2 linked regions of the Schizosaccharomyces pombe genome follow. The gene in region 1 interacts genetically with each later gene. Each region holds a gene or a part of one and is shown on either strand. Other genes may lie near its edges.

Region 1 (7,720 bases):
CAGTTGTAAGTACATATCCACTTCCGGAAAAATTGTGTTGCCATTTCCATTTGTAATAGAAGTGGAAGAATCATCACCATTTTGTGGCATATCAATAAGTTCCAATAATTCATTTTTTAAAGAATTATCAAAAGAATAATACTTCTTAATTAACTGGCCTAAAACATCCGCATTCAGTCTATGGCAAATGTTGGATGTGGTTCTTAATGATCGATAGACAAGTCTGGGATCTCTTTGTTTGGTGGCTTGCATTAAGGCAGCAATATTTGCTTCCACATCTGATCCTTGTTAGAAATAAATAAATTTTGACGCATTAACTCACCTTGCAAAACTGTTCTTGGAACTTCAGTTACAGTGTTCTGTTTTGTTTCACCAGAATCAACATTTTCTTCTTGGTTTACAGAATCAACCTGCATATCTTTTTAACGTTAATAAATACAAAAACTTTCCCATCAATAACAAACCTCTCTGATCATCAATCATATTGATACTGGTACTTGGTAGTGGTTACGTTCAGTGGAGGGCATATGCCTAAGCTTACGACTCACTGTGCTGTATACTTCCTCCCTATGATTATAAACACGAATATATTAAATGTTCTATTTAGTAAAGACTTTTGAATGCAATATTTATTACAGCATAATAGACGAATAATGTTTGAACAAAGTAGAAGATAGTATCGAATAGTTAAATAAATGAAAATACGCGTCTTCAACAAACATTCAATAAACGTAGCATTGCTCACGATTAGTTGTTTCTTAGCACCATAATCGTTGTATACAACTTGTAGAATGCACCAGCAAAATGGTCCTAACAAGATTGGAGGAAAAAATTAACTCATGACTAGCTCATTTCAAACGGACGACATATACTAATTTTGACCCCTTTTAATCCCTAAAGCCAATACTCTCAGTATTCAAGCAATTCATTAAAACATTTTGATTTTAACTCTTTTCTCTTCTAACTTATGCAAATTCGCAAGTAAATTAGAAAAACGATTATAAAATTTCAGGCGTACAATCACGAATTAAATAATATGAAAGCAAAAGAAAAGTATGTTTCAAAGTTCGTCCGGAGATGAGTTGTTATCCTTTTCTTCAAACTCTTTATCTGATTGACTAGAGGCGGTTTGCAATACGGATGCTATCTCATTATCGTATGAAGTCCATTCAGAGACTTGCCTACGTGCGCGATCCAGCTTCTTTTCTTTAGTTAAAGGATTTTGACATAAATCGATTGTTTTGGCAGTTTTCAAACTTTCATCACTGCACCATGTCTCACACCAAAGCCAATCTTGCGGAAGAGAGTATATAGGAATAAGGTGTTGAAGGTGATTTGGCAAATCTTGATCTAAATTAGACAGGGAGTTAGGATCGGCAGACAAAAGTTGGTATTGTCTGCGAAGTAAATCACCCGCACCCATCTTCCTGAAACGATCTAAGTCTACAACATATAATGCACTAATGTGATATTTTAATCCACGTAAGAATTTTTTCCAGTATCCTTTTTTCCAGAATCTAAAACCTTCCATCTCTTCGCGAGAATCACACATGGGTGTATACCCATATGGAGCACCATGTAAATCCATATCCATCAATTCCTGCAAGTCAGCACGCACAATTTGATCGGCATCAACATAGATAACCTTATGCAATTCTAAAGGGAATAAAACATCAAGGAACAATATTTTGTATCCCCATATCTCACGTTGCTTTTCTTCTTGTTTTCTCAGCCAGTGTGGCCAATTGTAAGTAATATACTCATACTCGAAATTATACTTTTTGGCAATGGCCGGAATAGAGCTTTTAAAAGAAGGGGACAAAAAGTTCTCAATAAACCAGAACTTGACTTTTTTATCCGTATGCTCAATTACACTCTTAGTCATGATGTATAAGAATCTTTCATACAAGTGTCCGCTGGCAACAGAAAAAATATTTATAGATGCTTCTTTACGTTTGAAATTAAAGAAGCTGAGAGACTTTTTTATTTTATCGAAAAATTTATGGGAGCTAAGGTCTTCATCCATAATGTCGGCAGACTCAAAACCAGGTTTACGTCGCATAACCGGATTTAAGGTGACACCTTCAAAACTGTCAACAATTACTTGAGGGTCTTTATAGGAATTTTTCTTATTTAGCGACAGTATTTCATAAAACTGAGAAGACCGCCCATCCATAGGTTCCAAAGTCCATACGCCTGGGTTCGCCTTCAATTGAAAATATCCTAAATTTGATAATACAATTGTATCAGTCACATGGGAATTAGTAAGGTTGCCTAGCTTTAATTGCATACCCCTCGGTGGGCTTTTCCTGAATTCTTCTTGAGAGTAACCTTGTACCAAAATGTTTTTAAGTTCATAGATTGCTGTATGTGAGTCCAAAGCCTCTGCTTCAGAAGTGTGCTCTAATTTTATGTTGAAAAGATCAATGTCCACATCTTTTTGCATAACTGTCCATGCGTCTCTAGCTTCAATGTCCATTGTAAGCAGTGTATCAGCCGGTAAGTTGTCAAATTCTACGTAAGACTCCTCTAAATGGCCAAGCGCATCAAACTCTGGCTCCGCAGAAATTGAATATCGATAAAACCTTGTTAATGGAAGCTCAGACAAAGTTTGTTTAGGATTGAAATGAATTCGAACTCCTACGCCGTTCAACTTTGAGACTGCTTCAAGAATAGCTGACCATTTTTGAGAATCTTTTGAAAGAGGATCTAAAACTGCAACAAACTGATAATAAGCTTTTGAAAAATCGTCAGTTTCAAATGTAGCATTTCCAACACCAAGTTTATTGTAGATAAAATCACGAGGAAATAATTTTTCTTCCTTAGTAGGTGAAGAAGTACTCATGGGTGTAGATTCAAGCGTTTTTAAATATGAGCTAAGGAATGAAATAGCACGGCTGTTTTTTAACCTTCTTGAGCTTCCAGCAATGTTTGACAGTTTTGACAGATAATTATCGTATTCCATTTGCATTAACATTTTTAAGTCAGCGGTGTTCAAACTATCAACTGAGAAAGAACAAATCATCCGTCCGTTTAATAACAAAGCAGATTTACATTCACCGGTAAGACCCAACTCTTTAACAACGGCTTTCGATTTTTTTAGAAATTTCAATGCTTTATCCATATCGTTAACGACGCCAGAACTGGGATCGAGGCTGGAATTTAATATTTCTTGTAAATGCTTACTAGATCTCTTTGGTGATGATAACAGTTTAGCAAACAGAGGGGGTACAACATGATTTTTTCCTTCCTGAATCAACATAAGATTTGCATCTTTATTCTCCGAAAGAAGGTCGGCAAGTAATGAAAGTATTTCAAGCCCTTCCTTTTCATTAAAATCAGCAACTAGCCAGAATGAATATTTAGCATTAGAACTGCCGATAAGTAAAATATCTTCGTGGTTCAAACTACCAACGTTCTCCAAAACCCGTTTAATATCAATACTCTTGATACTAGATTTTGCGGAAGGGTAAACTAAAGGATTCCGCGTTAACGAAGCATCTCGCAAAATAAAATCTAACAGATTATCATCTTCAGAAATCTTCCCTTCTGCAACTGCAATTTGAACTTCAGGGATATCTTCTAAAAATATCCCATACATACTCCTATCGTAATTTTCATCATGAGAAATAATTCGGCCGTTGACTATGACCTCTGATGCAGAAGAATCTATTCCTAAACGATTAACCCAGCTATTGCTCTTAGACATATAGTGGTCAAAAAAAGATGAGGAAAGATCTTTTTTAAGATTAGCTAGAGTATCATCATCATGCTCGCTTAATGGAAGATGCTCTTCAAGCAAGGAGTACAAATCAGCACTAGAATCGCTGTTCAAACATTTATATAAAAATTTGAGAGCGCTGTCAGTTCCGCTCTCCTTCGAAATGTAGAAAAAGGATTTGCAAACAGTTTGAGCAAATTCATCGTCATCGTTAGCAGCACATACCATACCAGTCTGAACGGGCGAAGGGCGCCGTGAAAACTGAATAAGCTCGGAAAGAAGAGGTAACGATGAAGGAGAAGAAGGAAAAATAGGATAAATGACAGTATGCAGTTGTTTTCCGAGCATATGAAGCTGTCCTGGATAGATAGGTTTTAATAAAATTTGTATACTCTTGGGCCAATTGTCATACTTAGGGTTGCTTTCTATTTCGTTCACCCAATGTATGGCTTTCCAGTCCTCTATATCGTCTTGACAATGAAACTTAACAAACTTGAAATCTGAGTCCTCGTTAGCAAAAGCCTCATTAGTGACTATATCTAAGACCTTCGAAGATTTAATCCCTAGAGCTTCAAATCTATCAAACATATCTTTTTCTTTCTTAATTAAAGAGAGAATAGAAAAAGCATCCGTTTCCTCTAAATCAAGAGATAAACCATTCAACCAAATCGTATTAATGCCTTCAGGAACATATTGCGATTGAAATTGGTTCAGTTCCTCGATTAAATCATTAGAAACATCCGGTTGTATAGAAAGGTAATGCGCATAAATAGGAAAATCTTGTGTAAGCTCTCGAAAAGCAGTCAACATGTCAGTACTGCTAGCAATACTTTGTGTAGCTAATAAATCAAGTATTGCAATTTTATCAGGCGTTACAGTTTGTAGGCTGTCGGAGGTCATTCCAAATAGTCTCTCATTTGATCTTTTGTTGCGGGATGATGTAAAACTTGCTGGGTTATCTCCCTTTTCCCTTGGAAACTCGCGATCATCTACAACTAAGTAATCTGTGCGCTTCAATGACACATGGGTACCAAAGCCCTTAACGTAAAGTTTGGAGTTAAGTTTCGAGGAAGAAGGAGGAGAATATCTTATAACATAATTGCACTTTCCTTCCAATGCCAGCTTGTAATATAGTTCGTGAAAAGGAATAAGATCTCGTTCGAAGCTAGTTACAACCACTGCGTACGGAATGCCAGTAGCCGAGGTTTTTACAACTTCGTAATCTAGAGGATTTTTGCTGTACAGCTTGCTAAACAATGGGGAGTCCTTTGGCAAATCCGAAAAGCAAACCTGTGATTCTTCGTCAAGTTGTAGCCAAGTGTCACAATCACAGCTGCGCGATTGAACAATACTTGAAAATGCTTGTAACTTTGGTGCGCCAGAAAACAATCCCAGAGAAAACTGCAAGGAAGATAATTCTTCATCAGAAAGAACATACTCGCGTTTAAGTGAATTGACAACATTAATGTACAGCTCCTTTTCGGTGGTATTTTCAGCATCTAGTAAATCGCTCAAGTGATTTAAATACCAAATGAATCCCTCCTTCTTCTCTTGATACAATGACTCAGCTATAAGTGCAGAAAATGAAGGAGCGTTAAAAGTCGCAGCAATCTTGACATCTAAAGGCTTGGCGGCATAGCAAATCGTAATGAGAGTTGCAATAGCAAACCAAAAGCCCCATCTCATCTTATACTTATCTCTTTTTGCTTTTGGAATGTTTAGCTATTTTTTTGACGACAAAAGAAGTTGGCGGAGTAACTAAGTAGTTGAGAGGACTAACGCGACTATTTACGTGAACAGTTACTTGATCGATAGAACAGTAAACAAGTGGTATAATAATTAGCTATTTAAAGCTGTATCTAATTTATAATCTTACTTCGGCTTCCTATTTTGTTCTATGACTAATTAATTACCAAGGAATAATTTGCAAGTATTCGTAACTGGTCAGGCGCTATACAAAAATCCAAACTTCGAAAGTAGGAAGACTTTTCCATATTACTGATTACGAATTTTGTTAAAATAAAAATTCTTGACACAGGTTTTACAAGATCTAAATTCCAGAATGCTAAAAATAATCATTTCAATCCAGCAAACCAGATAAATAATCACCATAGATGAATTGGTTCCATGAATTAAATTATTTAATGTATATGCAATTGATAAATTTTATAATCATTAGCTTATATTACTTCAGTGAGACAATTATTGTTATTACAACAGGTTTCTAATTGTAACCCATAGTTGTGATAATGAAATAATTGATTAGCACATAATCAATAATAAATGGGGAAAAAAAAGTCCCTGTAGTCATTTTGTCATAAAAATGAAAAGCAACTTGTTCGTGTTAGTGTTGCACACCTCTTTTTAACTGAAAACGTGCAATATTGCATTCATGGAGCAATAAACTATTAAATAATTCAAATCAAAAAAGACCAAATTCCAAGAAAATGAATTTCGCGTCTGTTGGAGCAGACATCAGATGTCCACACTCTGAATATCAAAAGATGGGGGCGATCAAAAACAACAGTCAATGCAAGACCTTGTAAATTCAGAGAGCAAAGAAGTTTTGTTCCTTTCCTACGATAACTGCTTTCCATGTTGCTTAATTTAGGATCTTGGAGGTGCACCAGAAGGTAATGCGTACGGATGAACCATCTTTAAAACAATGTAACAAGAAAACGAGATGATGCTCGCAACAGTATAAAAGATTGTCTTCTTTATAGGATCCAAAATAGCAAGAATGGGATAAGCGTAAAATTTGTTCATTTGATAGCATTTCTCAACCCACAACATGTAACTTACTGCGATTGACAGATAGACAAGAAGAGAAGGACCAATAGACAAACTAAAAGGCGGTGAGAAAAAAAGGTAATCGATAAGTGTATAAACGGTAGGCATTAAATGTACGCTAATATCAAAATTCAGAGGAAGAGGCACAGGGCGATCTTTAGGGATTAAAAGAGACCTATCATAAGAAACTATAGACCAATACAAAATTGAAACAATAGTTTCCAGTGGACAAACAATATAAAGAAGGATATTTTTTAGCTTTACAAGTGTCAAGGAACCAGAAATATCAGAAAATAATCCTACTACCATACTCAACAATGTAACGGCCAGTGACAAAACAGTTCTACATAAAGTGTTAATATTCAGTAATATTAAGTAAGGTATCAGGCCAGACGTATGCGCTTACAAATGCTGAAAATGAGAACCATAGGACCTTCTAATAGCAACATCGCTATTGTGGTTAATCCAGTTAAACGCCCATATCAAATTCGCTGTCGCAACTGTATGCAAAATAAAAGAATTAAATCGTGAACGAGATATAGCCGAAGACATATCAATTGGGTATTTTAACGCTACGCTTCTTACGGTTTTGGTAGTGGTAAGTTGTGTGATTTAGGTCCGTTTCTACCAAGTGACACACCAATGGTCAAATATCCCCATACATGATAAAACAAGAAATACAATTTATAATGGTTTTAACTTACAAAGAATTAAATCGTCTAGATACGAAACTATCTAATTTAGCATCAATATACAGCAAAATGTAAAAAAAAGAGAAAAAGAAGGATAGCAATATTTTCGTAAATAGTGATTGTTAAGTGAAGACAGACCCCGTTTTACAACGTCTAATTTCAACGGTCAAGAATGTGCTGTATGCAAGTAGGTATTTGTTTGAGAGATCATTGTGAAAAAAGCTATGCTAAAATGTGGTAGCTTCTTTTATACTAGACATGTTTGAATTCAAAGATGCTTATGCAAAGAATCTTCTACCAGTACCTTTTTGACCGATACCACCGACATCACATACCGTACAAACTTCATTGACATAGCCTTTATGATATACGGCACCGCAAACGGAACAAACATCAAAATCATCTCCAGAATATACAGGAGTTAAAGTCTTGGGACAAATACGCATTTCAACGTGTGGATCATATTCGATTTCAAAGGCATCATGAGGGTTTCGGTCACCTAAGGTAATGGCGCGGT
Region 2 (4,110 bases), 3.4 Mb from region 1:
CCTCCCGTGTGGAATATGTAGTTGAAAAAAGAAAATTGTAATCGCTCTGATTATCTTGATTTCGGTTTTATTACTGCTGATAATTATACTGCGTTGTCTCACTGATAAAATCAAAAAATCTCATTTGCAGTATAACTCATTATATTTTTATCACGCTAGATAGTGCTATATTTTTTTAAAGAAGCTATACGCAATAGCGCTGTATTCAAATTTGCTATGGCAAGTTGAATAATGGGTAGGTAAACCATTTAATTTACTATTGCTAATGCTGAAGTTTAAATGGACGGAACTATTTTTCTGTTTCGTACTTCATGTTATGAAAATTATTTAGTTTCATCTTGCTAAGATTTATTGATGCTGACTTTACAATAAATATAGACGGATACACACGCAACAACGTTGAAAACCAAACCTAGGTAAATATGTTCTTGTGGTTGCATATATACAAAAAAGTTGAGTTTTGGCTAGAGACTCGGTTGAAAACTAACAGCTGCGTAATAATAACAATACATCTATTATGTTCCTTACTACCACGAACTGTGAATATTAAAAAGAATTTAATTAGTAAATTTATTAGTCAAGTAATTTTTCATAAAAAGAACGTCATAAGTACATATATGGGGAAATGAGAAGTATTTACAACATTGAAAAAAAATCGAGCAAGTAGAAAATCGCTTACTCAAAGATAGAATATTCCGCTTGGAGATAAAACAATCAATAAAAAAGGAACAAAGAGTAATAGGAAACGAACCGCCTAAAAATTCTTATGTATCTCTCATAATTTAATTATATCTCAGGAAAAATGTATAATGAACAATAACATCCACAACAATACGTCCAATTAAGTAATACGCTTAGCCGAGGGCCTTTCCCATATACCAAATGTATAGTTCAACCGAATTACCAACAAATCGATTGCCATTGAAATACTGTCTTTCAAGAGAGTCATTTTACTACCGCCAACTTCATGCCAAGTAATGGGAACTTCAATGATAGGTAAACCGAAAAAACGAGCAAGTGTTAATACTTCAATATCAAAAATCCATCCTTCAACATGCATACGAGGGAAAATACTTTGATATGCCTCACGAGAAAAAAGCTTGAAGCCACATTGCGTATCGCCAATCTCCCTGATCCCTAAGATTTGTAAAAGTTTGTGAAAACAGTGCATCAAAAAGTTCCTAATAAATGAGCGCTTTACTACTGCAGCCGTGTTCACCATATGAGCACGCGAGCCAACAACGACACCACCCCTTGGTCCGGGTGGCATATTTTTAAAAAGGAGCTCCAAATCAGAAAATTGAGAAGCACCATCTGCATCAGCAAAAATTGCATATTGACCTCTAGCGTACAACATGCCCCAAGTTACCGCACCGCCTTTACCACGATTCCGTTTGAGTGAGCAAACTCGTAAATGATCCCGCAAATCCAGTTTGTTAGAAAACTCTAGCACTGCATTCACCGTCGTATCCTTACTCTCGTCGTCAACTATAAGGATCTCCCACCGACGTTGTCCTGCTGAAGAAGAGGAACGATAATATTTTTCCAAGTGATCGACTGTCTCTTGGAGCATGTTTCCGATTCGTTTAGACTCATTATACGCGGGAACAATGACCGTTATTTGTATATTATCAGAAGTGCTCCACTTCTCAAGAGTCAAACTTTTTTTTTGACCGTTCTCAATGAATACACATGTTTCCTCTCCTTCCAGTTGCTTCCTCGGGCAATGAGAATGAGTTAAATAATAGTAAACCTATATTTGGGTTAATGAATATTCGGGGAAAAATTTGGTCTAATGTCACATCAAAAAATCGAAAGTACAGATAAACTAAACAGGTTCTGCCCGCAACGACCTTATTTACCGACGGGTGGACATGAATGAGAAGCATGCTAGCTAATATTGCTTACCAAGAACAAAAGGATAAATCCCGCAAGGCAGGTGTATAAAACGATGTATACTACCATGTCGTAACTATGCAAAAAGCAGAAGGGTTAAGATTTATGATATTGGAAGAAATAACTCATTCAAAAAAAAAATTACTCCACTCCGTTTATACTCTAAGCTATTTTTTAATGAAATCCGAGCTTTTGCAGTTACAAAGCATGCGGTGGGATTATTTGTGTTTGGCTCTGGCTAACTGCCGACTGGACTGGACAACAGTAATCGTTTAGTCATAGCAGACGAATTTTTTAGTACGAGTTGGTGAGTAGCAGTCAACAACTTAAAATGTCTACTTTTACAAGCAATTAAGCATAGACATATCGATTACAATAGACTCTCATTGTTGCTCAACTTCTGATAGATCACAAAAGTCAAGCATACTTGTTATAATTATATAATTATTTTGACTATTTGGGAGACATTGTATTAAAAGAATAGGTGCCTTTACTCTTTCCTAAAAAACTTACATGACTGTAATTCTGCGTGGATATAAATATTTTTTCATGGAACATCGTATGATATATCTTACGGCTACTTAGTATTAAGGGCGCAAGTTGTTCAATTGCCTTAACCTTTTTGAATAGGATGAACTACAGGTTTGGCTGGGTCATAAAATATGTCTTGAGTATTCCTTCATTTGTAAATTGATAAACTAAAACACTTAACGTTGAAAACACTTGTTTAAAATTGGCTTCAAGTCAATTAATTGTAAATTTAAGGAAACTAGCAAGTAATCATTATTTAGACCAAGCGCCTGTTTATTTAACATTATTACACCTTTTCCTTATCGATTCGTTTATCTTCGAAAGTTGATCTCGCAGAGTCCTGATCCATGAAATGACTTTTTATAAAACATTAGCCTTTGTAATTTTTTTAATAAATTCATCCTTTTCATACATGATTTTACTGAAATTACGGTTAAAACTGTTATATTTATATAAGATAACAAAAAAGTCTCGTTGTTTGAATAGCATATTATGAAGTACCCGTATACCAAACTCGGTTATTGATTACCGTTCAATTAATGTTGTCTAACAAAATACTAAGCAGACCGTTAAATTAGGTTGAGATAAAAGTTTATAAACTTACCACTTCTCCTTTCACCATAACCGAATAGGAAAAAAAATCTTGGTATTCAAGTGTTTTTGGGTAACTTTGGAATTTAACAAATTAGCAAATATAGTTGCTTACCGTTCCTGGTACTAAAAAACCTAAAATTTTTATTGCTGCGCAATACCGTTAGTTTTGGTTTTTTTTCGTAAAAACTTTCTGGTTTTTCGATTTTTTGTTTTTCACGCTTAAAAGAAGAGAAGCTAATTGTATTTGCTTACTCAACACAAAAGCAAGTAATTCATTCTTTGTGTTAAACCTTACACTAATCTGCTTTTGTCAAAAAATTTTTTTTTGGTTATTTAAAACTCCTACCATTGAGTTTTGTTAGTTACATCTTTGAGAACTCAGTTCTATCAAAAAATTTAGTTTCTTTCATTTTTTCAAAATTTGACTATCAATCGTTTGATAAAAATGGAATCTCAATCTCCGATTGAATCAATTGTCTTTACTGACTCCTGTCATCCGTCTCAGCAAGAAAATAAATTTGTTCAGCTTATTTCAGATCAAAAAATTGCAATTGTTCCCAAATTTACGTTGGAGTGTGGCGACATCCTTTACGATGTTCCCGTTGCCTTCAAGACTTGGGGTACTTTGAATAAAGAAGGAAACAATTGTCTTCTTCTTTGTCATGCTTTAAGTGGTTCTGCTGATGCTGGAGATTGGTGGGGTCCTTTACTCGGTCCTGGTCGTGCGTTTGATCCATCACATTTCTTTATCGTATGCCTTAATTCTCTTGGTAGCCCATACGGAAGCGCCTCTCCTGTTACATGGAACGCTGAGACTCATAGTGTTTATGGGCCAGAATTTCCTTTAGCAACCATACGTGATGATGTAAACATCCATAAACTTATTTTACAAAGATTGGGTGTAAAGCAAATTGCTATGGCAGTAGGTGGCTCCATGGGTGGTATGCTGGTTTTGGAGTGGGCATTTGATAAGGAATTTGTGCGATCAATTGTTCCCATTTCTACCTCTCTTCGTCATTCCGCGTGGTGCATTAGCTGGTCTGAAGCGCAACGCCAGAGTATATATTCTGACCCTAAGTTTAATGATGG

What was found.
Region 2: mutations in gpt1 (region 1) and alg5 impair growth when combined (synthetic growth defect), as found in Schizosaccharomyces pombe (one study listed by BioGRID).

Annotation. Positions count from the first base shown.
Region 1 is NC_003423.3:705,275-712,994, reverse strand, and holds gpt1 (UDP-glucose--glycoprotein glucosyltransferase Gpt1), read right to left. Parts: upstream 5,482-7,720; 5' UTR 5,408-5,481; coding exon 1,061-5,407; 3' UTR 569-1,060; downstream 1-568. Other genes in the region: 19S proteasome regulatory subunit Rpn3, read right to left, coding at 1-278, 323-418, 465-483; SPOM_SPBPJ4664.05 (uncharacterized protein), read right to left, coding at 6,329-6,854, 6,918-7,063; cop1 (coatomer alpha subunit protein), read right to left, coding at 7,482-7,720.
Region 2 is NC_003423.3:4,090,183-4,094,292, reverse strand, and holds alg5 (dolichyl-phosphate beta-glucosyltransferase Alg5), read right to left. Parts: upstream 2,137-4,110; 5' UTR 1,966-2,136; coding exon 1,909-1,965; exon of another isoform or gene 1,754-1,908; coding exon 842-1,753; 3' UTR 541-841; downstream 1-540. Other genes in the region: homoserine O-acetyltransferase Met6, read left to right, coding at 3,467-4,110.